4 linked regions of the Lepisosteus oculatus genome follow. The protein of the gene in region 1 interacts with the protein of each later gene in a pairwise test. Links are inferred from orthologs where the notes say so. Each region holds a gene or a part of one and is shown in the gene's direction. Other genes may lie near its edges. The genes, in order: microtubule-associated tumor suppressor candidate 2-like, histone acetyltransferase KAT5, zinc finger C2HC domain-containing protein 1C and aquaporin FA-CHIP.

What was found.
Region 2: the proteins of microtubule-associated tumor suppressor candidate 2-like (region 1) and histone acetyltransferase KAT5 interact in binary tests that used the Homo sapiens proteins (3 or more experiments, as listed by UniProt). The two-hybrid records come from large-scale screens. The link is inferred for Lepisosteus oculatus from reciprocal best matches to the Homo sapiens genes MTUS2 and KAT5.
Region 3: the proteins of microtubule-associated tumor suppressor candidate 2-like (region 1) and zinc finger C2HC domain-containing protein 1C interact in binary tests that used the Homo sapiens proteins (3 or more experiments, as listed by UniProt). The two-hybrid records come from large-scale screens. The link is inferred for Lepisosteus oculatus from reciprocal best matches to the Homo sapiens genes MTUS2 and ZC2HC1C.
Region 4: the proteins of microtubule-associated tumor suppressor candidate 2-like (region 1) and aquaporin FA-CHIP interact in binary tests that used the Homo sapiens proteins (3 or more experiments, as listed by UniProt). The two-hybrid records come from large-scale screens. The link is inferred for Lepisosteus oculatus from reciprocal best matches to the Homo sapiens genes MTUS2 and AQP1.

Annotation. Positions count from the first base shown.
Region 1 is NC_090700.1:17,556,054-17,563,733, reverse strand, and holds the start of microtubule-associated tumor suppressor candidate 2-like, read left to right. Parts: upstream 1-4,672; 5' UTR 4,673-4,854; intron 4,855-5,818; exon of another isoform or gene 5,819-5,994; intron 5,995-7,680. UniProt on the Homo sapiens protein: Binds microtubules. Together with MAPRE1 may target the microtubule depolymerase KIF2C to the plus-end of microtubules. May regulate the dynamics of microtubules at their growing distal tip.
Region 2 is NC_090713.1:22,611,395-22,618,680, forward strand, and holds the start of histone acetyltransferase KAT5, read left to right. Parts: upstream 1-4,281; 5' UTR 4,282-4,336; coding exon 4,337-4,354; intron 4,355-4,473; coding exon 4,474-4,540; intron 4,541-5,194; coding exon 5,195-5,263; intron 5,264-5,706; coding exon 5,707-5,843; intron 5,844-6,422; coding exon 6,423-6,491; intron 6,492-7,286. Other genes in the region: kinesin light chain 2, read left to right, coding at 236-293, 657-740. UniProt on the Homo sapiens protein: Catalytic subunit of the NuA4 histone acetyltransferase complex, a multiprotein complex involved in transcriptional activation of select genes principally by acetylation of nucleosomal histones H2A and H4.
Region 3 is NC_090703.1:8,490,382-8,497,763, reverse strand, and holds the start of zinc finger C2HC domain-containing protein 1C, read left to right. Parts: upstream 1-4,363; 5' UTR 4,364-4,840; intron 4,841-5,437; 5' UTR 5,438-5,522; coding exon 5,523-6,995; intron 6,996-7,382. Other genes in the region: DNA mismatch repair protein Mlh3, read right to left, coding at 1-1,047; acyp1 (acylphosphatase-1), read right to left, coding at 2,468-2,686, 3,649-3,741, 4,108-4,152.
Region 4 is NC_090701.1:33,148,897-33,155,954, forward strand, and holds the start of aquaporin FA-CHIP, read left to right. Parts: upstream 1-4,054; 5' UTR 4,055-4,101; coding exon 4,102-4,464; intron 4,465-6,095; coding exon 6,096-6,257; intron 6,258-6,932; coding exon 6,933-7,013; intron 7,014-7,058. UniProt on the Homo sapiens protein: Forms a water channel that facilitates the transport of water across cell membranes, playing a crucial role in water homeostasis in various tissues.

The DNA of each region.
Region 1 (7,680 bases):
TCTTTGGGGAAATCCTATGCAAATCACAATAAACCATTACAGAGTGGGGTTTTTACAAGTTGGTGACCTAGTAATGAATAAAGGTGTAATATCATGGAGACATCTCAAGAAACATTCCTCATTTCCAAATGATCAATCAAAAATGTACTTCAAACTTACAGATGCTGTTCTGAAACTAACAAGACAGTGTATTTAAAAATGAATTACACTCTTCTTGAAAACCCCCTTCTATCTCAAATATCTAAATTGAAGTCTGTATGTATTACATAAAAACATCAGACAATGATTTTCAATGAAAATATTTTTCAGCTCAGAACTTTAATAAAAAAGAGACAGGAAAGCATGGATTCACATTTGTAGAAATGTGAAGTTTTGGTCTCCAAATAAAAAAAAAATCTATTCAATTCAAATTAATGCATAGGATATATTTTACTTCCAGAAAGTTTTTCAGATGAAATTACAAAAATACAATTACTGGAGATGTGGTAATACAACGTAATTTTTCTCACATGTTTTTTACATATCCTAAGGTTTTAAAGATTTTGGAAGGAAATAACTAAAATATTAGAATGAATTTACCCTTTCCTTTAATTTATCCCCCCAAATTATTTTAATGAGCAACTTTTCTGTTGTACAGGTAAGTTGAGAGCTATTAAATTAAAACCAATTTAAGATATAAAGCCTCCTTTGTTTGACACTTTGGACTAGGACAATATTAGTAGGAGTCTGCTAAGTATATAAAACTATTCATATGTTATTCAATTTCATATGTTAATTAGTTTGTTTTTTTTGTTTTGTTTTATTTCTACTTTTAGTATGTAATTCATACAATCTCTGATTTGATACGTAAATTAAATATAATTCTGTAATAAAAAAGTACTCTGAAATATGGAGGTGTATAATAAATCATGATGCATGGCTACAACAAAGAAAAGACTTAGTACGACTGACACTAATGGGTGCAGAAGGTTACACTGTCACGTCTCACCTTTTAACCCTGGAACAAATCTCAGCGTCTACAGATCCAAAGGAGTCTATTTTAAGTTCGCTGTTCTCATAAACTGTTTGAGATTTGTAAGGGATGAACTGTACTACATTAACAGTGAGTTGCAATGAAAATGTATGCTTTTTAAAAAAAATTGATGTCCTAATTGCGGACGCATTTCTAATTTCCCCCCACACAGCTGGGGCCCAAGACCCCTTCAGAGTGCCATCTGGAAATATCAGTGTTATTGCTGTGCTAGAGACACAGGCGAGAACTTGCTTTTCATCCAGTTGGTCAAACATACAATAAGCCTTGAAATGAAAAGTGTTTGGTATTCACATTTCAAACCTCTGTCTTGTGGGAGTGGGATTTTGTAATCTTTCCAATTTTTTTTGTTATACGCACGTGATTTTTTTGGAATTGTCATTTGTTGTTTTTTAATGTCTCAGCCTACAGCTATGAACCCAGCAACCTCACACAAGGGAGGATGAGAAAGTGTGAGCAGTTTCCTCCCACCTGCCTGCCTTTGATCCACTTGTCTTTAAAAACCTCACAGGCAATGCTCCTTGGAGGAAAGCTTCCAAGCTGCCACTATTCACTTGCCTTGGCTTGAGGCTCTGCAGAAACTTCCACTTACCTTTGCCAAACTGGACATTCTCCATGCTTGACCCTGGCCCTTTCATGCAGATGTTTTGGATGACATCCTGTATGCACCTCCTTGAAGAGGACAAAGCACGCCCTTCTTGTGTCAAGTAGTAGAACATCTTTACACTGTCCCAATGCGGACAACAAAGGCCCTGTTAAGAAACTGTTGGTGGAGCGAGTGGATGTCCTACCATCTCAGCCCTCGGTGTGTCTGAGCCAGCAGTGGAGACTGGAGAGCGTGCTACACAAGGAGTTTTGTGTGTCCTTGTCGATGGGGCATCTTAACCACACTCAGGCACTTTCAGCAGCATACACTGCTTATCTGGCAGAGGTGGCAAGGACACCATACTGCCAAGGCCTCAGGTCCAGTCCATTGCCTCTCGCTGTCTACAACTGGTCCAAAATCAAGTTCAAGTTCAAGATTGTTGTCATTATACTGATACACAGGTATATGGTATAATGAAATGCTAATTAGCTAGCTCTCAGACGGTAAGTAGCACAAAAAAACAACAATACAATTGAATAAGAAAAGAAAGACAGAGACAAAAGGCAATGTGCAACACAACAACAGGAAACAGGTAATGTGAAAAACAACATCAGTTGTGCAAAATCATACATCAACAGAACAAAATAAAGGATAGAAAATTATGGGGAGTGAACTTCTTGACATGTGAGGTAGAGGTAGATTTCAATGTGTGTTTGAGATCCGACAAAGAGAGAAGGCACTGTGAGGGTTCAGATCGTAGGTGAGGGTGGCTGGGAGTTTAATAGTTTGATAGTGCGGGGGTAAAAACTGTGAGTCTGGTAATCCAGGCCTGAATGCTCCGGTACCGTTTTCCAGATGTTAGAGGGTCAGACAGTCTGTAGCTGGGGTGTGTGGGGTCTTTGATGATGCTTAGAGCTTTCCTCAAGCACCATCTGTCATAAATGTCCTGGATGGATGGGAGGGCAACCCCAGCGATGCATTGGGCAGTTTTCACCACCTGCTGTAGGGATTTGCGGTCAGCAATACTGCAGTTGCCATACCACACAGTGATGCAACCTGTCAGTGTGCTTTCTGTAGTGCATCTGTAAAAGTTAGTGAGGATCTGGGGACATATCTTAGGGCTTCTTCAACCATCTTAGGAAGTACAGGCGCTGTTGTGCTTTCTTGATCAGACAAGTGGCGTTGAGAGACCATGTGAGGTCCTCAGTGATATGGACGCCAAGGAATTTGAAGTTATTGACCCTTTCCACTCCTTGGTTTTGCTGACCTTGAGGGTGAGGTTGTTGTCTTCACACCACGTTATAAGGAGATTGACCTCCTCCCTGTAGGCCCTCTCATCATTGTCTGTGATCAGACCTACAACTGTGATGTCATCGGCAAACTTGATGAGATAGAGTTGGTGTTATGTTTGTCCTTACAGTCGTGGGTGTAGAGGGAGTAGAGCAATGGACTAAGCACACATCCCTAGGGTGTGTGACAACATACTGGTCATGGTATGGTGGGCAGTAGTTGTATAGTACAGTTATTCTCCAATTTGTTGTCCACAGCCTTGTATTCCTTGTGTCAAGAATTTCAAAAGCACTTGGTTGTCTTTTTTTCCCTATCAGCAAAGCTCGCTCCACTTATACTGCTATATTACTCGTGTGAGTCATTTTAGAGACTGAGGAACGTACATCTTTCAAATAAGATAATTTGTCTGTATTGTTACTTTAGAGCAGTGGTTCCCCATGCTGATCCTAAGGGACAACAGCATCTGGTGGTTATTGCTCCAACTAGGCCTTTACTCACTGGTGCTAATTGATCTGCTTGCTTATTTACGCCTTTTCCACGCTCGTCAGTTTAAAAAAAATCCCGTTAATGTACTGTATTATTTTCAACAACTTTGGCATACAGAATTTCATATAGTCTCTCTTCAACATGCTAATTATGAATTTGTTCACTTATTTAGGTTAAAAAGCTCTTAACTGACAGTCATGTTATAATGAACAGCCAGATGGGAATGGTAATATATCAGACATTCCCATAGCAAGTATTTCATTTTCCTTTGGCTTAAATCCCATTGGTTACATTTTGGCTAATGCACCAGAATGAGGGGAATTCTGAGTCTTAGGGGTTGGCACAGGGTTGATATCAATTCTGAACCATAAGCCTTTATGAGGTACAATAAAATAAAAACACCTACATTTGGAATAAATAAGTTTACCATTAAGATTACGGAGAAAAAAAAACAGAAGACAGCACTCCCCCAGAATCAGGACTGAGAACTCTGATGTACTAAGTGCCCCAGATACTGAGACATTATATTTATATTTTTGTACAGCTCCACACATTCAGTTAAACCAGGGGTCTGTGACCTAGTCTTATCTTTCACCTGGTTGAAAAGGCTGAAAACACCTGTAAACATTTGATGAATGAAAGCAGGTAATCTGTTGAATTAATACAATCTAAGGTCCTTGAAGGCTAGAGAGTACTTAGACTTTAGTCTTAAATGATCTGTAAATTACTTACTTTGACAAGTCACCTGTTTGATCACAATGAAATCGTTTCATATATTAAGACACAAAGTAATGGTGACCTACAAAAGGTGCTGAATTGGGACCAAGATCCATGTTAGAAATCTCTATTATAGAGTATGTATTTTACTTGTTCAGATTTGTGCCGAAGCACTAGTATTGCAGTCAGTTTTTTTTCTCATTGTATAAAGGCACCATTCACGATTAAAGCCATCTCGCAAGTAATTAAATCGCAAATAACCAATCTAAAAGAACTAAAATAGTTGATAATTTCATCTCACAAGACAACCAAACTAATCAAACACAAAACCAATGGATATAAGAAACCTTCGTCTTCGTACAAAGACCAAGAACAAATCACGATTGTTGAACTGTAGTTAGAACTCCCTTAAAAAAAGAAAAAAAAAACGTCTTTTATATTTTCTAACTTTAGCCGATAAAAAAATTCTTCTCAACCTCTCTGACGCTGTTGTGCACCTATGGATGTTGCACCTTCCTGTTCTTTGCCAGCAGGTGGAGCCTTCGGCTTTCTGAAAAGCATGGGTTCTCCAGGGGAAAAGATCCAGATTGCTTCAGGAGGAGAGGAGAGGAGAGAAACATTCTGCACCGTCTATCTCACCCCCAACCGTTTTCTTCGTTGCGTTCAGGATGGTGGTTAGTACCTGGTAAAGCACGAGGAGGCGGATGCTCAGCATTTCCACGGGAAAACGGAATCAAAATAACAGGTATGCACTGTTAGTTTCCGGGCGAGAAGATGCACAAAGCAGAGGTACAGGCGGTGCATCTGTGTATGGAAAAGGTTATTATATTCAGCATCGACTTGCTACGTTATATTTTTGCCTGCATTGCAAAAAAAAAAAATAGCACCCCACCTAGATGAAGAATGCAACTGCTGTGCTGTCCGGTGACAAAATTGCCTTCGCTGACATTCAAAGGAACAAATGTGTTTATGGCAACTTCCTTATATACTGTTTTTGTGTATGCTGTATTTGGTGGGCGTATTTTCAGTTCAATTAGATTAAAACTAGTTGTGACGCTGGCGCACAACAATTAGAGCTTTTTTACAGGACAAAAAGGCTTCACGTCGAGGAAAGTGTTAAAAAAATTAAACGTGGTTTTTAAATAAAACACACTGACTGTAGTCGGTGCCACAAGTAAAAGCCCTTTGCTGAGCTAACTGTAAGATCTCTGGAAGCGACACCTTTGGTATTGACCACGTAAGCTTGATCTATTTACGTCTTTGCAGTGATACCTGAGAGTGTGAGCGAATCTGCAAGCGTGGTCTTTGAGACGAAGTGAAAGGTCCAGAAATGAGTGCAATTATAAACGTATAACACATTTGCATGTAATTTGTGGGCTACATTGGTTTTCCTCTCCATAAACACACATACAGTGCTCTGTACTATGTTGTTTTTGTTGTTAGAGTTTAATTATGCAGTCATGCTGTACACATTTTGCGCCTGACGTTAAGTGTGCTGCTGTTCTTCACCTCTCAACGCAGTGCTCTATATGGTCAGAAAATGTGCTCTTGGTGCGCCAGTGACAGTGTTGTGTAACAGTAAACATAAGGAGGAATTTGCTGCAATACTATATTAACTGCAGAGCTATTTTAAGCTTGTTCTCTCAGTCGTCGGAACTACGGGTTGTAGATTGTTTTGCAGTGGTTTCCTTTGTATTATAAACTCTTCAGTTTTATAACAATGTCTTTATAATAGTTTACAAACTGTCCAGGGCAAACAGTATTAAACAAAACAAAAACCTTTAAATTGCTTCCTGAATGCGATGGTGTTTAAATTGAAAATGTGGGTTAGACATTAAGTGCGCCAGGGAAGAGAAGAAATGATACAGCTTGAAACTCCATTCAGGTAGAGGAATTAAGCGAGCCTTGCTCATTATTGGGGCTCAGGAGCTTCAGTACATCTTGAAGGTAGCGTTAAACAGCTGTCACTCAATATTAGTTCCATAAATAATACAACGGTAATGATGACTTTTGGACAATAAATGTGGAATGTAATTCATTAGTGAAAAATTTAAAAACTCTTTTCGCAAAGGCTATACACATTGGGCCGCTGTGATTCTTCCTAAAAAAAGAAAACCGGATTTAGCAACCAGGCACCATTTTAAAGACTTCCTCTATTTTGGTTCCTATGTATTTTTCTGTCTCATACTTATTTCAGAGAAATCGGTTCATTTCAATTGTGCCTATGTGAAACTGAAATTGTTTAGAATAATCAATGTATTTAAAACAGCATCTTAAATTAACCGCTTTGTTTTTACCTTCCATCCGCAATATCACGTTGAGTGCCTGATGGTTACTTTTTGGTTAACAAAACCTACAAGCTTTTATTCAATTTTAAACTGTCATTGAAAATATTTGAAGTTGGTCAAAGTCTTGACTTAAAGTAGTCTGTGTATGTTTACTGTAATTTTGGACTTACTGTAGCCTGTATCTGAGCAGGATTGTCTCATTTCCCATTTAAGCTGAGAATGCATTTCTTATTTTATGCTGATGCGGACTAAAGTCAGTTAAGACAAAAATACCTCACATTATCTTTTAGTTTTCACCTTAAATGTTTCTCAAGGAGGAGGTTTCATACAGCTTGTGCAAGACCTTTTCTCTTAACAAGGGCATTAGTTTAAATATCATCCAGGTGGGTGCTGCACATTGGTGGTGGTGGAGGGGAGTCCCCATTACCTGTAAAGCGCCTTGAGTGGAGTGTCCAGAAAAGCGGTACAGTATATAAGTGTAAGCAAAAATTATTATTATTAAATGTTCATATTAGCTGTAATACATAATTTATACAATTTTAAGGTGTTTCTTGAAAGTAATATTTTTTGTGTTAAATGTAAATTTCAGTCTTCAGAGCAGTACAGGAGCTTTTAATACTGTTTATTGGTCTATCTTTTAGATAATTACTTTAATTCTTTGGCAAAGTGTAGAGTGTTAATTGAGGACAACTCAGTACATGTAAAAGTATCTTTTTGCAGTATATAGCATTGGTGAAATTAAAAACAGGGTTATATTACCACAATGTATTTGTTTGTTTGTTTGTTTGTTTTTTTTCATTGAGTTGAGGGTTTGATTTTTGTTCTTCAGGTCTGTGAAAAATAATTGTTTTATCTGACCCAGATCACTTTATTAAGCCCTATACAATTTCTTGCATTAGGAATTTGTCTTTTTGCATACCCCAGCCTGCTCTCTATGAGGATTACAGAGAGGGAGAGAGAAGCCTGGGGTCAGAGTGCAGGGTCAGCCATGACACCTGGGGTAGTTGGGATCAAGGGCCTTGGTCAGGGGCCCAACAAAGTAGGATTCCTCTGCCGGCTGCGGGATTTGAACCAGCAATCTTCCAGCCTCAGGTGCAGATCCTTAACCACAGTGCCACCACTCTGCCCTCTGCGCTGCATTTGCACAATCGCTTGCACCACCTAATACCTGTAAAATGGGCCAGAGTGCTATATAGTGGTGATGCCCATCCCATCTGATCTTCACTGTTTTTTATTTTTGTATCCGCTCTGTTTTTTTTAGAAATCAGAACATGATCACAGTT
Region 2 (7,286 bases), on another chromosome or scaffold:
GGCTGGGGTTAGAGTTTGGGGTTCTACAGTACCGGGCTCGGGCTGGGGTTACAGTACTGGGCTCGGGCTGGGGTTAGAGCTTGGGGCTCTACAGTACCGGGCTCAGGCTGGGGTTACAGTGTGGGGCTCTACAGAACCGGACTCGGGCTGTAGCGTGGCTTTCCAGAGCCCTGTTCTGCTCCGCTGGCCAGTCTGTGAGATCTGTGCCCTCCCCCCCCCCTGTGTTCGTCCGCAGGATGAAGCGGGCGAGCTCTCTCAACTTCCTCAACAAGACCGCCGAAGACCCTGCACAGGTTCGAGCTCGGAGCCGCCGGTCGGCACGTCTGCGTGCTTCTCAGTGTGTCCCTGCTGGCTTGGGGCCCAGTCGTCATCTGTGTGCGTCTGTGTGTGTGCGTGTCTGCGTGCCACTCAGTGTGTCCCTGCTGGCTTGGGGGCCAGTCGTTGTCTGTGTGCGCCTGTCGTCTGTGTACGTGTCTGCGTGCGCGTCTGCGTGCGCGTCAGGGTGGCATTCCATGCGTGAGTCAGTGCATTTTGCTGGGTGCCACTCTGTGTCTCTGTGTGTGTGTGCCAGTGTATCACTTCGGTTCAGTGCGTCTGTGCTGCCGTCTCTGTCAGTATCCATCGAATAATCTTACGGCTATTGTCTGATTTTGCAGCAGCCTAACGCTGGCCTATCGGAATCCAGGGGACTGAGCGCCAGCAACGTTGACCTCTCAAGACGCAGCTCTCTGATTGGATGAAGTTGAGCCCCGAAGTGGGGGGGGGGGGGTGGTGTTAAGGAAGGACCCCCCCCCTCCTCCCGTTCAGCACCAGGAGGGGCTGCCCTGTTTCCTGCCTGATTGGAAATTCCTGAGACATGCAAACCAAAATTCTGAGCGCATTTAATTTTTTGGGGGGGAGATAAGAATTTGCCTTTGCCACGAAGAAGCCTTTACTTTATCGCGGGGCGGGACAGGGTGTAGCGTACTCCAGCAGTTCAAGATGTTTGCTGAACTGGCCATCGGGGTGGGGGGTGGGGGGGTGAATAAACGAACTGTTCTCTAAATTAACAGAAATTATCCCGCATGCCGCTTTCCAAAGGGAGAGGTCGAGCGTCTTCGCCGGGAGCCCTCTGGTGGAAGGGGGGAGTCGGGACGCCCGGGGCGCCTCTTTGCCGTGGTGTGGCGGACCGGCCCCCCGGCGGACGCGCTCGGCCTCGCTCCTCTCAAGACTCTCGGCTCGCCCGAGGCATGCAGCTCTCGTGAATGCTCAGCGCCTGTTTCTGTAACTCGCCACGTTAGCGCAGGGCACGTCTAGGTGTAGAATATTCATCTTTACTGAAGGGGTGGGGCGCCGGGGGGTCAGGTCAGAAGTGTTGGGGGGGGGGGTTAGCGCTGGGGGGTCAGGTCAGAAGTGTTGGGGGGGGTTAGCGCTGGGGGGTCAGGTCAGAAGCGCTGGGGGGTCAGGTCAGAAGCGCTGGGGGGGGGTTCTGTGGGGAGGCCTCTGTCCGCTCTGGCTCTGTGTCTGTATATAAGGGTCTAAATTATTGGCTTACAGAGCTGGCTGACTGCTTCTCTCGCACAGAGCACAGGTGAAGTTTAGGGGCTACTGGCGCGGGGTCTGGCTATGGTGTTTGTGTGTGGGGGGGAGGGGGGGTGGTCCTGCTTCCTTCTGTCTGTGTGTGGATGGCTGGGGGTGCCAGGTGCCCTACACTTCTTTACTGATGGTAACTAATGGTCGAGCCCTGCTGTGAGGGTGCCAGTGTATGGCCGTGGCTGCTCATTTTATTCTGGCAGGGCAGTGTATCTCCATCATCTCTACATCACCTACACCCCCCACCAGCATTCTTCTATCCTTGAGGCTATGTCTAGTCACCGTGGCAACAAGGGATGGTGTCCTTGCATCCCTGTCATCAGGGAGGTGGTGATGGGAGAGTGTCTCTGTTACCATGGTGACCAAGGTGTCCAGGGGGGACTGTGCTGGGGGTCACACTGTACCGAGGTGTCCAGGGGGGTCAGGGCTGGGGGACACTCTGTACTGAGGTGTATAGTGGGGTCAGGGCTGCGGATTACACTGCACTGGGGTGTCCAGTGGGGTCAGTGCTGGGGGTCACACTGCCCTGAGGTGTCCAGTGGGGTCAGTGCTATGTGCTGACACTCACCGGTGATGGACACTGGACAAGGCTCATGCCTGCCGCCTGTATCCTGCTGTTTGTTGGCTCGTCTGCTCTGGCACCAACGCGCACCCCTGCACACTCGGGCTGCCCCCTGGTGGCCCAGAAGTGCACCCCTTCAGGTGGCACAATCGCATTGCATTGTTGACGAAGGGGATGCTGTGTACCCCCACTTTCCTTTCCACGTGCATGGTCTGCTGTGACTTGGTTCCTGCCCCACTGTCTGAACCCCACATTAGCAATGTGACCCTACAAATGACCAGTTTCACAAGGAGCTGTTTCTGGCAGCAGGGTAGAATAGAAAGTTGGGGAGACCTGTTACTGGGGGGCTGCCACTGGTGGATTGGAGGAGTGGGGACACCATAAGACGGGGGGGTGTGGGAGTAGTTTTAGAGAGCAGGGCTATAGGGTGTGTGTGGGGGTAGGTTTAGGGGGGCAGGGCAATAGAATACTTTGAGGAGGTAGTTTTAGGGGACAGAGATATAGGGTGTGTGAGGACCTGTGAGTCGTTATGATGTGGCCTGGGCTATAGGGGACGGGACTGGACTAGAGCCTGTGGCCTGGGCTATAGGGGACTGGACGGGACTAGAGCCTGTGGCCTGGGCTATAGGGGACGGGACGGGACTAGACCCTGTGGCCTGTGCTATAGGGGACGGGACGGGACTAGAGCCTGTGGCCTGTGCTATAGGGGACGGGACGGGACTAGAGCCTGTGGCCTGTGCTATAGGGGACGGGACGGGACTAGAGCCTGTGGCCTGTGCTATAGGGGACTGGACGGGGCTAGAGCCTGTGGCCTGTGCTATAGGGGACTGGACGGGACTAGAGCCTGTGGCCTGTGCTATAGGGGACGGGTATCTAGGCTGTGACTGGAGAGACGATCCTGCGAGAGAATGGAATATCATTTCTGTGTTACACTGGTAGGAATGTAGGGATACATTGTACTGTGAGTGGAGGGCCTGTAATATCCAAGCCACAATGTACGTTCGAATGAAAGATTCATTAAAAATCCACTTTTCCAAAACGACGCCCGAGTCCTGGCTCTTCTGTGTGTCCGTGCTTTTATTTCTGTGAGCTGTCTGCCCACCGGAGGGCGCTGGCGGCGGTGGAGTCTAGCAGAAGCACACCTCGGGAAAGCGGGAGAACCTGCAAACTCCACCGGGAAGGTACACGAGGTGGACTCGAACCCAGGACCCTCGGGCCGTGGGGCCGCGGCGCTGACTGGGTTGTTGTGTGCAGGGGGGTCCTCCGTTCTCTTCATTGTACGCAAAGAGGACACAAACCAAAGCACTTCACTGTCACTTACTTATCTACTGTAAGTAATTAGGAACAATAATAGGTTTATTCCAGGCTGAAGAGAGAAGAAAGAAAATGCAACGTTTCGGACGGGGAGCCTCCGTCAGGTGTGAGTTGCAACTAATAATTGCAAATGACTGCAGGGCCCTGGTTCCGTGTGCATGGGCAGGGGCATAACGTGGCTGCTCATTTTATTCTGGCAGGGTGCTGTATCAGGTTATTGCAGATCAGAGCACAAGTTTACGTTTTTGCCTTGTTATTTTTCAAATTATGACTGGAGTTGCATTTCCATCTTAGGATGGGTAAAGACCAGGGGGAAATCTGGCCAGGACGCTGGGGTAACACCCCTACTGTTCTCAAGAAACACCCTGGGATTGTTAATGACCAGAGAGTCAGGACCTCGGTTTTATGTCTCAGCTGAAGGATGGTGCCTTTTTTACAGTATAGTGTCCCCGTTCCTGTACTGGGGCCCCACACAGACCGCAGGGTGAGCACCCCCTACTGGTCCCACTCACACCTCTCCCAGCAGCAGCCTCAGCTCTCCCAGGAGTCTCCCCCTCCAGGTACTGGCCAGGCTCACCCTGCTGAGTTATTCCACACATAGTTCGTATGTGATGAGAAATTATGTTCATATATTAAATTCCACTTCAATAGAAAGTCAAGATCACCTAGATTTTCAAAGATTGGGAATCAGATGCCATTGATTATGTTTTTAAATATCATAATTTCCTCCAAGGCGTCCAATGCGAGCCCCAGCCTCTGGGCCGGAACCTCACCTATTCCTCGGACGCTGATTGGCTGGAGTGGCGATGGCGTCATTAGCCTGAGCCGCGGACACGTCGGTTGCGTACTTCCGTCGCCCCTGGGCCTTGTTGTGCTCAGCGGAGCAAGATGGCGGATTCAGCGAATGTGAGTAAATAACCGTGATGGTCCTCGATTATTTTTTTATGATTAAAAACTGTGTGCGGGACTTTTCTTTCTACCTTTCCAGAAACGTAAACCCTTCTTTGTCCCGTTCCTCCTAACAGATGGAGATCGTGGAGGGCTGTCGGCTGCCGGTTTTGAGGAAAAACCAGGAGAACGAGGACGAGTGGCGTGAGTAACGGGCAGCTGTCATGGCGGATACAATATTGACATTTAGAGCATTGTTTGCGCTCCTATATCTGATTTTAATACACTGTCAGCGGGAAATGCAACCTGAACCTGCGCGCTTGCCTCTGTAACGCGATGCTGTAGATGTTGCACTCTGGAGAAATGCGCTGCGGGAGCTCGCACTGAGTGCACCGGAGTAGACGCGCCCTCTGCGCTCTCGGGTGCGGGCGGTGCACGGCGCTGCTGTCCCGCCGCTGGAGGCGGGCTGATTATGTTGGATGCTTTTTATTCCGGCGTGGGTTGCAAGAAGAGCCACCTCGCAGCTGTGTGGACCTGGGTTCAGTTGCAGGCTGGTGCACCTTCTGTGTGGAGTGTGCACGGTCTCCCCCCCCCCCCCATGTGCTTATGGCTTTTCTCTGGGTGTCCTAGTCTCTTCACTCCTGCCATGCTGGGTGAGGAAACTGCTGCCTGTAATTGTCCCCCTGTAGGGGCTCCTGTCCAGGGTGGGCTGTTGGGGTCCTGCCTGGAGCCCCGAGTGGGCTGGGGTCCTGTCCGGGGAGGGGTCGTGGGGTCCTGCCTGGGATCGGGCAGCTCCCTGGCGCGGTGGGCGGAAGCTCTTGCTGGGTGCTGACACCTCTGCCTCTGTCCTCCTGGCAGCCCTGGCCGAGATCCTGAGCCTGAAGGAGATCAACAGCCGCAAGCTCTACTATGTTCACTACATCGACTGTGAGTACCGTTTCGCCCGTCGCCTGCTGGATGTACTACAGACTGTTAACGCCCTGTGTTCTTGAGAAATAACAAGACTGGTCACAGACGAGAGGAGCCAATCAGCCAATCTCTAGTTAGTCACTAATTGATCTCGGAATCTCATCCAGCTGTTTCTTGGTAGGAGCCAGAATACCTGTTTCAACAACAGGCTTGTTCCACTCCTCCACCAGGCTTTGTGTAAAGGAGTGCCTCCCGTTCTCGGTTTGAGATGCTCTTCCCTATAGCTTCTTCTGGTTTGCGTTTTCCCTGTTGGTTCTGAAAAAGCCCGCTGGGTCAGACAGATCCCTTTTTGGGGTCAGGGAACCCGCCGTGCACCCTGGACGTGATGTCGTTGTTCACCGGGAAAGCTCTGGTGTCTGGTTCCTGGGTCCGGACTGATCGCTTTTTCTTTTTCCCCTCAGTCAACAAGCGCCTGGACGAGTGGGTGACGCCCGACAGGCTGGACCTGAAGAAGCTCCAGTTCCCCAAAAAGGAGGCCAAGACGCCCACCAAGAACGGCCTGCCGGGCTCGCGGCCCAGCTCCCCGGAGAGAGACGTGGTAAGAGCTCACGGCTCCGAGCTGCTGGAGAGCGACTGACCCCCCCCCCCCAACGCCGCCGTTCTTTCTGAGCCTGAAGCTCGGCCCCAGTGAGCCTCAGACCGGACAGCCCCCGAGGACCACCGGTTCAGCACGGCTCCCTCTCGCTCCCAGGACCAGGCTGGGCTCGGCCTCTGGAAATCGTCTCCAATGCTGCCTTTTTCTCTAGCCTCCCCGGGAAGAAGGAACTCTGTCGGGATGGCTCCCGAAGTGACGCCGGGCTGTCCCATGCTCTTTCCTGTTCCTGCAGACCTGTGCTGGTGCTGATCTTCTAGATGTTGTGCATGTCGGTCTTCTGCTTGATTATTACAGCGTTGTGAACCCTCTTTTTTTACTGCATTTTTATGACTGCACAAAACCAGCCGTGCACCGGGGTGTGGCTGAGCTCACCTGGGTCCGGCCTCCGGGCCGCGGACCCGGCGCCGCTGAGCTCACCTGGGTCAGTGCAGCCGCAGAAATGCAGTAAGGACCACAGGCGCGCAGAGAAGGAGGTTGAACTGTCTTTCGCTGTCAATAACACCCTTTTCTATTCAAATTCAGAGGAAGAGTCTAGATCACAGCCTCCAAACGGTCACAGCTCCATCCAGAGGCAAAACTGTCCCCATTCCGGTACACCTTCACCCGTCTTCCGCAGGCACCGGGAGGGAGGAGCGAGGGGCGAGGGGAGATCGGAGATCGGTAGCGGGGCCACGTGAGACGGAATCGATCCGCTCGTGCCAGAACCCGGGAACGGAATCGGAGTCCGGATTTCCTGATCCGGTTTTCCCGTGGTCAAGCCGATAGACCGGTCCAGTCGCGCCCGAGCTACGTCAGTCAAACCCTTCTCCAAGGTTTCTAACTTCTGGGACCGCGGGAATCCTGAGTTGGATTTGGAGCAGCGCGGATATTGGGACCGGTTTGATCGGAGGGAGGGGCGCTGGGTTCTGGCACGCGGATGCGATCCGATCTCCTGCTCTGGACCTGCTGGACACTAGACCACTGCATTCTGGCAGTTGTCATCTCTGACCCGAGTCTCTCCCTTGTGTGACAGATGACCTGCCAGAAAGCTGTGGTCTGTCCGAGTCTGACGCAGTTCTTGAATGTAAATCTTTGTGTAAATACTCTAGAATGCTTTTCCTGCAGGTGTGTGTTATGTGATTGAACTGTACTTTTGCTTATAATACATTCACATAAATACACACTGTACTTCTACCCCCAGCACTGTCCCCACTGGACACCCCATTGCACTGTGACCCCCAGCACTGTCCCCACTGGACACCCCAGTGCAGTGAGACCCCCAGCACTGTCCCCACTGGACACCCCAGTGCAGTGAGACCCCCAGCACTGTCCCCACTGGACACCCCATTGCACTGTGACCCCCAGCACTGTCCCCACTGGACATCCCAGTGCAGTCTGACCCCCAGC
Region 3 (7,382 bases), on another chromosome or scaffold:
CACCAGGAACTTTTTGACTCCTTCTTCCACGCAGAGCAACACACCATCCCAGTCCCGAAACTCAATGAGTGTTTTTGCAGGCTCCATGCACACATCGTACTCTGAATAATGGCACTTAATATTAATGACATAAACCCCATGGAGCTCTGAACCACCCCTCTGCTTTGGACTGTGCACAGCGATGGACACAACGGGGATGCTGTTCTGCCTGCTGGCAACTCTCACCTTCTTTAGTAAGAAATTTAGGAGTTTATGAATCCGCGTTCTCAAGACTAGTCTGCTGTTTACGTAGAGAAACTGCATGCTGTTGTTGTAGTGACCCTCACGCCCTATGTGGCCACTCATTTCAAACTGGTTGTGGCAATGACTGATCTCCCCAAGCTTCTGAGCTCTGCCCAGTCCGTGAATCTGGGTGAACCTATAGTACGTGGCCCGCGACTTGGAGAGCTGGAGCACCGTGCATCCGGTGGAGTCATTTCTCAGAGAGAAGGAGACGGAGGGGTGCATGAGGGAGACTGCTTCGATCCTCTGCCTGATCCGCTCGCATTCCAGAACCGGGTCGAGCCTTTTCCTCCTCACGGGCAGATTGTGGAAGACGTCGCAGGCCACCACCGTCGTGCCGGCTGCGGGCCGGGTGGTTGCTGCCTCGGACACATCTAAGCCCCTCCCGTTCTTGAACACTTTCACGAAGGTCTTCACGGACTCTGGGGTCCTTGACGAGACCTCCAGCAGGGTGGCTAAGCCGGCTATGCTTGCCAGTGCCTCCCCTCGGAATCCGTAAAACCGCAGGGCTTCCAGATCATCCAGAGAGCCGCACTTGCTGGTGAAGTACCTGTTGCCCACCTGCTCCAGGTCTTGCCTGTCCATCCCAGAGCCATTGTCCAGAACCTGCACTTTTCCCGCCTCAATGTCCACTCTCACAGCCACGCAGCTGGCCCCAGCGTCGATGCTGTTGAGCAGGAGCTCCTCCACACACTGCGTCAGTGAGAAAATGGCTATCCCAGAGCGAAGCTTCGCCTGCACGTCCTCGGACAAACGTCTAATCATAGTTCTGACGCTATCGGAAACCTAAACCGCCTCTTTGCTGTAAAAATTATCTCAGCAAGCGCTCCTAGGCCCGTCAGACATTTCTGCACATTTAAGAGGAATTCGGAGCTCCGTCCTAATGGGACTTTTCTGCAAATAAATACTTCCAACACATTTTACTTAACTCCCGGTCTAATAAATTTTACATTCTACATCAAGGGTGCCGTTTCATAACAGTTTCTACTGTCGCCATCTACTATAATTTGAGATTCCCGGCTGCCGCCGGGAACAATCGCAGACTGACAGCTTCAACCCTCTTATCATGTTGGGAACTATTCTTTTAACAATGACGGTTTAAAAAAAAAGTTAAAAAATAACATTCTGACGAGTTTGATAAACAAAACTACGCACTACGGTGCTGGACAAAACGCACGCTAAAACCTATTATCCAACCATTCAAAACTACTACTCTACTTTTGAAAGAGGGGGAAGAAAAACGGTGCTATAATTATCTTAGGGGAAACGACATTCAGCCGTGACATCGACAAGACCGTATTTCAACTTTGTTCTTCTTCATATTTAAAAAAATAATTTACACTGACTTTTTTCTAGCTGAATGTCCTTCCAAAGTGTCCGTTTCCATGGCTTCCGGTTACTATGGTGATGCGCGAATTAAAAGCAGCATTCGTGGACAGTGAAATGCAGGCCATCTCTAATTTCACTCTAATTTCTAACATTCACAGAGCAAGAGCAATCCTAATCCATCCTGCGTGGTATTGTTTGTATGTCTTCACATCCGCATCCGGGCCCGAGCGTTTGTGTTCAGCTCTTTGCTGCCCCTACCGCAAGAAATACAAATTTCGAGTCTCAGGGTTTTTTTTTAATTATCGGTATCCATTTCTTATGTACGGTTTACCTTACCAAAATAAAATTCATAATATAACATATTTGAACAGTTTTTGACGTTTCGGACATAAACGTATTGAGAAATATCTCGAAAGACTCAATTTTGTAATGATGCATATTTTATTGACCAATTGTTGAGTTGATGATTACATCTCAAAAATAAACATAGGGCTAGCGTATTTTTTACAAAGTACCGTCATTAAGCTGCCCTCTCAGTAACTATATTAACAAAATTAAACAGTACACAAATGGTTCTTCAAAATAAATAGGGATTTAATAAACACACAGAGGGAACGTAGAATGTTCAAAACATCCTCAAGCACTTATGTACAAGATTCAGATTTGGAGACGGTATGCGTATTTAGCAGTTTAAGCCTTCACTGATGTTATCTGCAGTACATTTACAAAAAAGCATTCCAACACAGTGACATCTTGAAACCAAATGACCAAACATCTTGATTCTAGGAAGATGTTTATGCCTTTTTTTTAAATAATAATAAAAAAGAAAACAGAAAAACACATCACATTTGGGAGGTTAGGGCCGGACGATCCTGAAATCCTTGTGATCCAGACTCTCCACTTTCTTCTCGTTGGAGAACTCCGCCTTGGCGATCTGGGACTTGGGGCTGCCTTTCTTCCTCAGCCACTCCTGCATCTCTCGCACCCTGCTGCCGGGTCCCTGGAGCTGGCCTCTCACTGTCCCTTCCCTGGTGTTCTGCACCCAGCCTGTCAAGCCCAGCCTCTTGCCCTCAGCCTGGGGGAAGGGCAGCCACACAGAAATACAGCACACTCCTGCTACCGGACCGGCTGATCTGAGATTGTGCGCGCACGGAGACCCAGGGCTGTCGAACCCAGCTCCAGGTTCCATACCTAATTCTCAGCGACTGATTACTTCATTAACTGGGAAAGAGAGTGGTTCTATCCTGTACACATTCTGTACTTTGACTTGGGTACTGTTAATTTCTCAGCTCGGCACAAACACTACACAATGCCCACATGTGCCACAAAATATTTAAATGATAGTCATCGAGAAGCAACAGCAAAACACAACATATATGTATAGCATGCATACAAAGAGATTGCAATCTCACATGCACATTTATAGCAGACGGCTGTTCTGTGGTTGCTATGGCAACTCACTAAGAGTGCCCAATAGGAAGTATATACTGTACTGCCACATAGGGAAGCACAACTGAATGATAGCTGTCCACGCATTTTCAATGTCTTCATCCAAGACAGGGCTGGAGAACAGCCAATGAGGTCAAGACCAGATACATCCTAGACAAGCTGCCAGTCCTGAGCAGGAGGTATGTGTATACACACAAACTCGGAGGATGATTTCCATACTCCAAAAAATCTGGACAGGATAGATAAATCTGTACTGTGGGGGGAAACAGGAGTCCCAGGGTGAAAACCCAGCAATGGGCAGAACATGCAAACCGGGCACAGGCATACTGGGCAGGAAGCAAGCCGAGGGCTCAGGAAGTGTGGGGCAGCACTGTTAACTGCATTGCCACCGTCACACCCATCCTTAAAGGGCTTTACATTCCCAGGACAATCATGCCTGTGCTGCCTCAAGCCTCATTTTCATTTTCCTGTGTTGGGTGGGCGAATGAAATCCGAGTTTCCGATCGCCGAATTTAACTAGATGTTCTATAATTGAGAAGCTGGTATTAGTCATAAATAAACACACACAAATAAAGGAAAGGGCTCTACCTGAGTGTACTTTCGGAAAAAAACACCCTGCACTCTGCCATAGATTTCATAATCCACTGAAATCAGATCTTCTTTACCGGACATGGCAGAGACCTAGACAAAATAATGTAAAAACACAGCGTCAGGAACAGTAGAAGTACATTTTAAATATTTCAGCGTGGACTGAAGTCTTTCCAGATCAACTTTTATTTTGCATTTTGCGTTCGAAATAAAAAAAAAACAAACTTGTTTTTTCAAAACTAAAAGGATGTTTGAATTCTATATCGCTCTTAAATATCAGGGGGCAGAGCTCATTAGGGGCATTATATCCGAAGCTTCGTCTTCATCCCAGATCAACTAAACGCTAGCATATTCATCATATGTCTCAATCTATTATCCAACATAATTAAACATTAGATATAGCCTCATGATTTGCCCGAGCTATCCCTGCACATTGGAGACGAAACATCATATACTCACATTACGATAAATAGCAACCACGAAAGACAAATCACGCACACACATTAAAATATCACTAACCAGTATTAAAAACACCCATACGACAAATGTGTGTATGTATAGCGCATCTCTTTCAAAACGAAGGGCTTAATCCAGACCGGTACATCCGGGGCATCTCACAACTTCCGGATGACTTTCCACGTGGTTTGTCTGCGCCCAATCACAAACAGAGCCCCTTGACAACTGAATGTTACGATGCCAAGGAACCCCGTGGCGTCTCCCGGTTTCCAGGCAACGCATGCCAACAAACCCTATTGTTAAACTCTTACCGGAGAATACCCTCTGATGACCGACCTGCGAGGACAAAGGGCTCGCCTACTGTGACGCTGGGGGTGATGTTGTGAAGGGCATCACTTTAGCTCGGGGAAAAACTCGTCACTCTCTGTGCCTTTGCAGGCTTGGTGACTGTATTTCAAGGGGAGACTGTAAAGTTTCATAAAACCATACGAGGGGGGATTTTCTCCTACTTTTTTTTTGTAAAAAGCGCTGTTTAAAGTCGGCTTTCTATAACAGTTTTAACTGCAGGTTTAAGATACCAGTGAACAAACCCAAAAAGTTAAGGAGAGAAAGAAAACCCTGCCACGCAAGTGTTTATTCATGCTTTTCAAAGGACGCCAGATCGTGACAAACTCCCCAGAGCTCTGACGAAGGATTAGAGCAGAAATCTGTCGACAAAACCAAAGAAAGTTTTTTGGTGAGTAAATTATGATGAACTAGCACGTTTTTTTGGACTGTCGTGTAAGTAAATATATAATGTGTCATATACAGTGACTTCTGAATTATTTATAAGGTTTTGCCCAGAAATATATGTTGTTTTTTCCTCTTCCACGTCTGCAGCCGAAGAAATGTTGAATGAACGACCAGTGTCACGTCTCACTCGGGGATGCTGGGAAATAAATACAAACGAATTTCATTGGCCACGGGGGTGATTTATGATCAAAACTGAATATAGATTTCCAGTTGAAAATAACGGGCATAATGCTTGCGTTGCATCCAGCCTGCGTTTTAAGCTTAAAACTCAGTGTGCAACATTTAGTCGTTTTATAGTCTTTAGGAGAATCTGCAAACAGGATAATTACATTGTAACACAAATGGTTCTTCTGCCAGAAGGACAGCTACCTCATTTTTATAGTTTCTTAAAAGTATGATGCATGTATTGTTGTTTGAGGTGAAGAAAATGTTTAATATGTAATATAATTTTTTTTTGTGTATGTGGTTTTTTCAAGAATAGGCCTTTTCCTGTATTCACTGTAGGTATACATTAATATCATTACATTTCACTCCCAATCAGACACTTGGAAGAAAATAACCTGCCTGTCTCCTCTGCAAATGGTACCACATCTTAGACCTCGAGCTCCCCCTTCCTCGGTAAAAAGATGCAAACCGATAAACTTCCACCCCTGAGGCCCGGTGGACGGAACCCAGCTCTGCACCCGTCCAAGTTACAGCTGCTGCAGAGCAACTTCCAGCAGAAACTTGGGGAGGAGAAGGAGAAGAAGCTGATCGCTCTGTACCGGCAGCAACAGCAGGCCGTGCTGCAGAAAGCCAGGATTGGTTCCCAGCACGACCAGCAGTCTGCATTGCAAACCATGGCGAACAACAGGGGTGGAACTGGCCTGCACAGGGAACATAGATCTGCTGGGAATCTGCCCAGAAATGGCCATCTCCATCACGTTGCCCCTGGAAAGAAGACAGCTGGGGTGGATAGGTCCTGCCCACTGAAGCCTGTGTACCACAGGAAAGCCTTCAGTCTCAATCACATCTTCAGTCCAGGTGATGTTGAGGCTGTGAAGCCTATAGGAGCACCGAGGAATATCCCAGTGGCTCCTTCTCTGCCTGCAGATCACCCAGAAGGGAGTCATTTGCAAGTGGACAGGAGACACCCTAGAGCACGAATCCCCAGGGATAAGACATCCCCTCTAGATGTGGCCCACTCCCCAGATGAAAACTCCTCCAGGGTGAATTTAAGTGGTCTCCACTGGCTGCAAGGGGAACAACGAAGACTAGCAGAGGTAGAGGCCAACCTGGCGGAAGAGATAAGGAGGAAGGAGCTCCTGCTCAGGGCAAAACTGAAAAGGACCGAGGAAGAGCTGAGGAGGATTCAGATAGAGATGGAAGATTCTGACGAAGAGGAGGAGTGGGAGGAGAGAGGAAAAATGGCCCAGCAAAGGAGAGCTCAGGAGAGACAGCACGATGGTGCTCCAAAAGGGCACCTGGGCAGTGCCAGTGGCAGGGGTGTGCCTGCAGAGCCCTATAGTTCCTCAAGACACTCAGTTCAGGACAAGCAACCGGTCGATGCAAGAAGAAAAACTCAAGTCCTGCCTCTTATTGAAAATAACACAGAGCTTCACACTCAATCTCTGCTCAATCACTCAAGTTCTGCTCCATCACACTTCAAGAAACATGAAAAGGCCTCTAACGCCGGCCAGTCACAGGATGTGCCCTACAGATATGAAACACACGTCAGGAATCGAGGGAAGCATGCCGAACCAATTCCTCTGGACAGCCGCATTCCACAAGCAAGCTATGAAATGAGCAATGGAAATTGTGCTGAAGAAAGGCTGCCTCAGGGGAGCGGAGACTTATCACCAAGACGTTTTCCACTCTCTGTCGAAGAAGCACCCCAGGCGGAGCAGAGACCGACGTACAATCAGGAAGGGAACTCGCAGCTGTTGCCCTGCACGCTCTGCAACAGGACATTTGCAGCAGAAAGATTGGAGAAACACCGTAGAGTCTGTGAGAAAATGCAGAATTCCCGCCGGAAGGTGTTTGACTCTTCCAAGCACAGAGCCAAGGGAACCGACCTGGAGCAATACATCAACTTAAAGAAGAAAAGTACAACGCCAGAGGTAGGAAGTGACTTTAGAATTCCTTCCCACAAATAAAACGAATGTGTGAATATGATTGTTACCCAATCCAGAACATAAAGCAGCCCTTAAAGATCCTCCGAGTGTGGCAAAGGGGTTCCAGGAATCAGAGGTTTTCCCCAGGCAGTCTAGTAGTGTGTAAAACCTTACACAGTGGGTCTGTTCACCAGCAGGTTTGGCTTTTAAATCATAGTAACAAATAGCACCATTTTGGCAAACAGTTGCTTATGCATAAATTTGGGTTCCTTACAAGAAGGGATTTATTGAAAAAGTGTCCCCCAACCAGAAAAGGCTGAAAACCCCTGACATAAGAACTCAAGGAAAACCTAGGAAATGAGAGGAGGCCATTGGGCCTCTCTAGCTCATATG
Region 4 (7,058 bases), on another chromosome or scaffold:
AAGTGAGCTGAACCTTCCCAAATGAGGCCCCATTTCTCTGTTCATCTCTGTGGTGCAGCCACAGAGAAACTATTCATGCAAGCTGATTTAGGGTTCCTTTGATAAGGACAGCTCCCAAAGGGGGATGCACTTAGCTAAGCCTGGCTATCATGATCAATGGTCATCCATTGGCGCCTATCTGTCTAGGGAGTGCCAGTTGGACATCTGGACTGCATTACTAAGTGTCAGGAGTAAGTGACTCATATCTCACCTTGATCAACCAATCAGGGACTGGTAGGGCCGAGTAACCCACGTGGGACTCTGATGCCCATGGAACTTTTAGGCAATCAACGAGCTGAAGTTCCTCCAGGTAAAAACAGGCAACACAGAGAGCCTGTGAGATTCAGTGAGATTCAGTAAGATTCTGGAGAGGATTCTGTGGACTGTTCTAAAGGGAATTCAAAGGAGAATTCCAGGGCAGGACGGCCCAGGAGCAGAAGGCTCCCAAGGGCAGGACATTCTCGCAGCGCGCCTCCTGACCATCCTGAGACTCAGCCCGGACAACCACGGAACGGCCAGTGTGTCCGAGTGCCAGAACTTTCCTTTGTTATAAGAGTCTCGAGTGGAGGTTGCCAGAGAGTAACCAGCATCAGGCCTCGTGAACAGGTCGGAACTGTGGACAGCTGAATCACTATTCAGAACTAGCTCTTCATCAGGAACGAACTGGTCCTCTTCCTGACTTGCTGGGACCCACAGTCATCTTTTCTCCTGTGCACAAACTTTGCTAACTAGCCGGTCAGTGAGCATCTGCAGCACACCGTCGCAAGCCGCACAGCACAGCCTGGCACGGAGCCAGAAAGCCTGGATTGGACAAGCAACAGCCTGCAACTGTTTCTTTGTGCCCGCAGGAGATCTGAATCCCCAGAAATTGGATGAGTATTCAACTTCAATGCATTACAGCTCGAGAATTCAATTGTTATCCCAACCAGTTGATATCAATTTAATTCCTAAGAGTTATGTACTTGTTTTGAGTATCTAATGTAGAAGTTATAACCAAGTTCATTTATGAAACGATCTTAATGAATGATATACTGACCGTATGTCCTCTTGATATGTGTAACTCTTTGTAACTGACTGAATATATACCTTTTGTATTCTGATAACCCTCTCGATAAGATATGTTAGGTTTATATGCATATTCTATGTATTAATAAATGTATCCTCGTGTACTAGTACCTGTGTGTGTGCATTGTTTGAGTTATGTCGCATGGTTGGATTCTAAAGCCATCAAAAGAATCAAGTTTGTGATTTACTGCTACAATTAATAATTGTCTCAGTAAATGCCCAAACCCTACAGAACTGGTGTCTTCAGAAAGCCACTGTGATTACATATTTAAGTCCCTGAGCCGGTTTTCTTACAGCATGAATGAATATAAATAGCTGCACATTTTGAGGCAGGAGACAAAGACTCCTAAAAAACTTCAAGCAAGAAAGCTGAAGAAAGAAAATACATGTGTATATAACATATTTGGGTTAAACTGCAGAAAAGAAATTCTAAGAACAAAACAACTGTTATATGCCAAAGACAAGCTAATACAGACATGGATGCAAGCAGTTTACTGTATAATATACTGTATTAGTTAGGAATGTACAGTATGTAGCAAAGATGGAATCATATTACTGAGTGATTTCAGTTTTCTTCATATGCATTTAATATTGTTATGGAAATACAGCAGCTCAAACTAATATGGTTAAAATGTCAATGAATACTTTGTAAAAGCACCAACCAGGGAAGATACTCTTATCAACCTAATCACTTAAAACAATCATAGTATGCTAAAATGTCTACAGTTTGATATTATAGTTAGTTGCTACTAACTAGTTGCTATAGCTAGTTGCTAGAAAAAATACAAAAGAATTACCATGAGAGAGAACAGAATATTGTAGCACAATTAAAAACAATACAAAGCATTTCACTCAGTACTATAACATTAAAACAATGATGATTGAGTAGTGTTTTAGATAGATAATATTTTATTAATCCCGTAGGGAAATATAGTAGTAAGTAAAGTTAATAATTGTATATGTAATATGTTACATTTAAATTCACAGAGATATCCAATGTTATATAACAAGCTCCAGCAATATTGTGTAAATTAAGCACAACTGATCTTGACCCTACAGTAAATCACTAGAATTTTCCCAGTCATTTAAAAGAATTGAAGTCTGTTTTCATAGACTCCAAAATGTGATATTTTAACTCTCACTTGAATGGGAGCAGTGTCCACAGATTGGAGAACTATAAATGTCTTCAGTTCATAATGAGTAGGGTAAATGATCCAGGAAACAATAGAGCAATAAGACTAATGTTAATGCTAAAGTGAAATGCAAATGATAGAGTTGCAGTACATAACAATACTAGATAGGACTATTGCCATAATCTAGTAGTCAATAGAATGGGCTTATAAATGGAATGTCTTATTTAACTATCTTGCTAAAATGCTCAAACAAACGACATCAGAGAATATTGGTTTTCAAATTTAAAACCACACAAATCCAAACTTGTTAATGCACACAATCAAAAACAGGTTAGAAAACAGGAAATAGTACATCATTTTTATAGAGCACAAACAGTAATTGGTCTGAAATAAGCAGTGGTGTGCTGGGACCCATTTTAGGCCCACTGCTCTATGTGATCTATAACAACTACTTTGTATTACAGTTAACAAGTACATTTTGTAGTGTACATGATAGAAAAATAATTGGGGAGTGGCAAACAAAATCAAATCAGCAAGGGAGTTACAAAGAGAGTTTTGTCTTGAGACTTCTGGCAAATAATTAATATGCATCTTTGCATTAAAAAGCAAAGTGATCCATATTGAAAGTAGGAACATACACGATACATGTACTGTAGCATGGTTGATTCTGAGTAGCAGTAATCTTTGCAGAAGATGTGTACAGTACATGTAAATTCCCATATGTCCACATCAAGACAATATGGAGACTCGATAAAAAAGCAAACAGGGAGGTCTGGTGCATAGAAAAAAGACTGAATTTTAAAGTCACAAATAATATAATTATGATTATTTGGTAGTAAGGATTCATTTGAATGAAAATAGTAAAAATGTATAAAGTCTTTTACAGTCATTGGACTGCGTACTACCTTTGCCATGTTTGTGGACTATGTATAAAAACGTATTGTTATAAGGATTCTAAAACTATGCATTTTACAATTGAATAATTTGAGTTTTCTACTAGGAAAGACGTATTTTAGTAAAATTTCTATGAATATAGTCAAATGTATGATAAAAGCTTCACATCAAATATATATGTACTGTACTATAATTTCAGGATTTTTAAATTCATGTAAGTGTATTTATCCTGAATGAAAATGTGTGAACATATGGGATTAAGTGAATTAATCAACATGCCTTGTTTTTGTACACTTGTTTATAATACTGTATATTGCTTATGTGATACTTTTAAAACCCCATTTGTTTGACCATTATTAGTACATAAGAACAAGAAAACTCTGATCAGATGCAGTCTCATTAAATAACTCCTTAAGTTGTTTGTTTTGTATTTAGATTTCACTTTTCTCTTCTGAGCAGAATTTTTCTCCATAGAAAAAAGGTTCACTTTGTGATGCAAATGATTAGACAAAATAACAACTGCAGTTCTTTTGCTTCCCCAATTGTTCAGGAGTTGCCACGACAATCAAAGAGAATGAAGGAGAAACTTTCTTACAACATATCAAAACCTTATGCTGTATTTTCCCTTTTTACCAATTTACTCCTTTAACTGCAATAAAATTGAAACAATATTAAATATTTAATGTTCTGTGATATTCAACACACAATTTTAAGGAATTTACCACCAATGATATGTCTTAGCAACAACTTGTATAAAACATTTTCTAGAAAAAGCTATTTCGATGAATAAAGACTTCCTATGAAAAAGAGGTGGAACAACTGTGAAAGCTCTTGAGGTCTCACTAATTCTGCATGCTTTTGATTTTCTTTGCAACACCCCCTCCTCCCACTATGAACTGAACTCTATAAATTCTCCAGAACGTCTCTGTGTCTGTAGATACCACATCAGACCAGCAAAGCCTCAGTCAAGATGAGAGAATTCAAGAGCAAGGCATTTTGGAAGGGAGTGCTGGCTGAACTAATAGGCATTACTCTCTTTATTTCTCTTAGTATATCAGCTGCTGTAGGGCAACCTAAAGCTTCCAGTCCTGACCAAGAGGTAAAAGTGTCACTAGCCTTTGGGTTAGCTATAGCCACTTTAGCTCAAAGTTTGGGCCACATAAGTGGAGCCCACTTGAATCCTGCAGTGACTTTTGGCATGCTGGCAAGTTGCCAGATCAGTGTCTTCAAGGCTGTTATGTACATCATTGCACAACTACTGGGGGCATCGATGGCAAGTGGAATTGTGTACGGAGTCAGGCCGAATGGAACTGATGTACTGGGAGTGAATTCAGTGAGTGTTTTTTCTTGCTTCTAGAAAAAAGTTTAAAAACTTTCTTTAAAGAGTGTATGCAACTGTTGCTAATTCACTATAATTTAATTAGACAAAGTAGGTAAATATTCATATTTTATTCTCTTTTACCTATTTTGTGCACAGATGTTTGAGTGTGTGTTTTATGCAAATGCATTGGATAATCATAACACCACCTGATTTCATCCATGTGTTTTATGCACAGAGAAATAGAACCTGAATGTGAATTAAGGTAATGAGAAGGACAGCACAAGTAAAACCACACAGTGACATAATTTATGTTCAGAATACTATTTTTTTTTTCTGGAAACATGTGGCATGTGCCTCATGGTCTTCTTTACAAATTATTTTATAATTTAAATTAGATACTAAACATGTGCTAAATGTATTGTTTATAGTTCATTGCTATGACACAGAATAACTGATTTAATAATACATACAAATAATATTACATGTATAATATAAAAGAACAAGGAGACAGATTACATATTTTACCTGGACGATTTGGTGACCTTAGTGTGATATAATAAAAAAGTTGAGAAGCTCTTAGCTAAAGAATAAAAAATGTAACACCGTATAGTACATATTCCAACAAAAACAATCAGGATAATGAGCAGTGGTTTAGTAGTTTATGATGACCTCTAGTGGTCTGTTCACTAGTTTGTGTTTCTTAATTAAATTACATCACTCACTAAATTCATTTAAAACTGTAAGACACATCAGCATTTTCGGATAACATATCCCATATAGATTTGATATCCCAGATCTTTCTTGAGTTAATCTCTAATTGTAATTAATGGAAGGTAAATAATGGACGTTTTTGCATGACTTTTTTAAATTGTCTTGAGCTCAACTGTTGAAATAAAGTGGATATTGAAGTTTAACACATGGAAAAATATTAAAAGAAATTTTAGTAGTTCAACTGCTACTAACCAGAATACCATTGGATTCAAAGGTTCATCAAGGAAGTTACATATTTTACATCAGAGTTCTTTTTCAATGAAGCATTTATAACTGCTTTTACCAGTAAAATAAAATTTGGGAGGAGAATCAAGTTTAAAAAATGATGTACTGAGATAAATAAAAAAATGTATAGTTACATAAAGTCCCTAGTGAGAAACAGAAATATTCTGACTTAGATTTATTGTAAGTAGTGCACTTTCAGTCTCTTATTGTACTTATTGACCATTACTGTATCAGTTCTAAAATAAAACTGTCCAAAAGTGTCATTTAGTGGGGTATCAATACTTTGATTATTCCATCTTTAAAAAAATCCTGTAATCAGTGTATGATTAATATTCTTATTTAGACACTTCAAACAAATGCAGGAGTGTGGAGAAAGCAACTCAGCTATAGTATGTTGTTGAAACCACACATCTTAAAAAAAAACCTGCATAAGATACTCAGATCAATTAGTTATCAGCAACCAGATAGACTAGATGGCCTTCTCTTCCTTGTCACCTTTGTTACCTTCTTATGATACCTAATAATATGTGATTTGTTGATATAATGTTCACAGGTAGTTTAAAAGTAAACAATCTTTTATCCAGAGATGACAAGAATCATTATTTTTTTCTCAACCTTTAAAATGTGTATCTGTCTTTCTTTTACAGCTAAACAATGTAACCTCCAGTCAAGGTGTTGGAATAGAGCTTCTTGTCACCTTTCAACTGGTCCTGTGTGTTATAGCAACAACAGATAAGAGACGGCATGATGTCACTGGCTCAGCACCCCTTGCCATTGGTCTCTCTGTGGCCTTTGGGCACCTTGCTGCTGTACGTCATTAAAACATGAATTCTTAGTATTCACTTCTGTAAGTCACTTAGAAATTGACTGAAATATAATGTACACCATAGAGTGGAAAAAATCACTGGTGATGACTAGCCAGTTCCAATTTAATTTAACAGCTGACTTGATCTACAGTATGCAAATGTATGTAAGCAGTTGGTGCAAAATGGATTGAGTCAGAGGCAGAGATTGAAATTAAAAGCCCCGGTAGAGTTAGATACAATACCCTTTTAGTGTTGCAGTCTGAGCAATTGCAAACACTTTCTAAATTTGCTCTGCTGCCAGCAGTAATGTTTTTCAAATGATGAATTTACAGAATAAATTTAAACTTCACCCACTTTCCTCAGTAAATGCTTGCTATTTTAGATCTAGAATTCTGTGAAACACTTTTTCTTTTAGATTTTTTAAAAATAGTTTTGAAGCAAAAAAACAATTCTGAAAGTGACCTTTGGTACGTTTCTGCTAGTATTTGAACATTTCAGGAAAAAAAAAACATGGCTTAATTATAAAAAAATAGATCCTATAATAACCACTTTACTTTATTTTTGTGTCAGTGAGTGTTTTCTCCTGCACAGCTGGTAAGATATCACGTATTAATTTGTCATTTGGATAATTAGAAAATACCATTGCAATCCCATGCAAATCTGTGGTTTTCTCCCCAGATCAGTTATACTGGATGTGGAATGAACCCAGCTCGATCCTTTGGCCCTGCTCTGATTACGTCTAACTTCAAAGACCACTGGGTAGGTGGAATGTGAAATTTAAAAACAAATAATGGAACCTTAAAT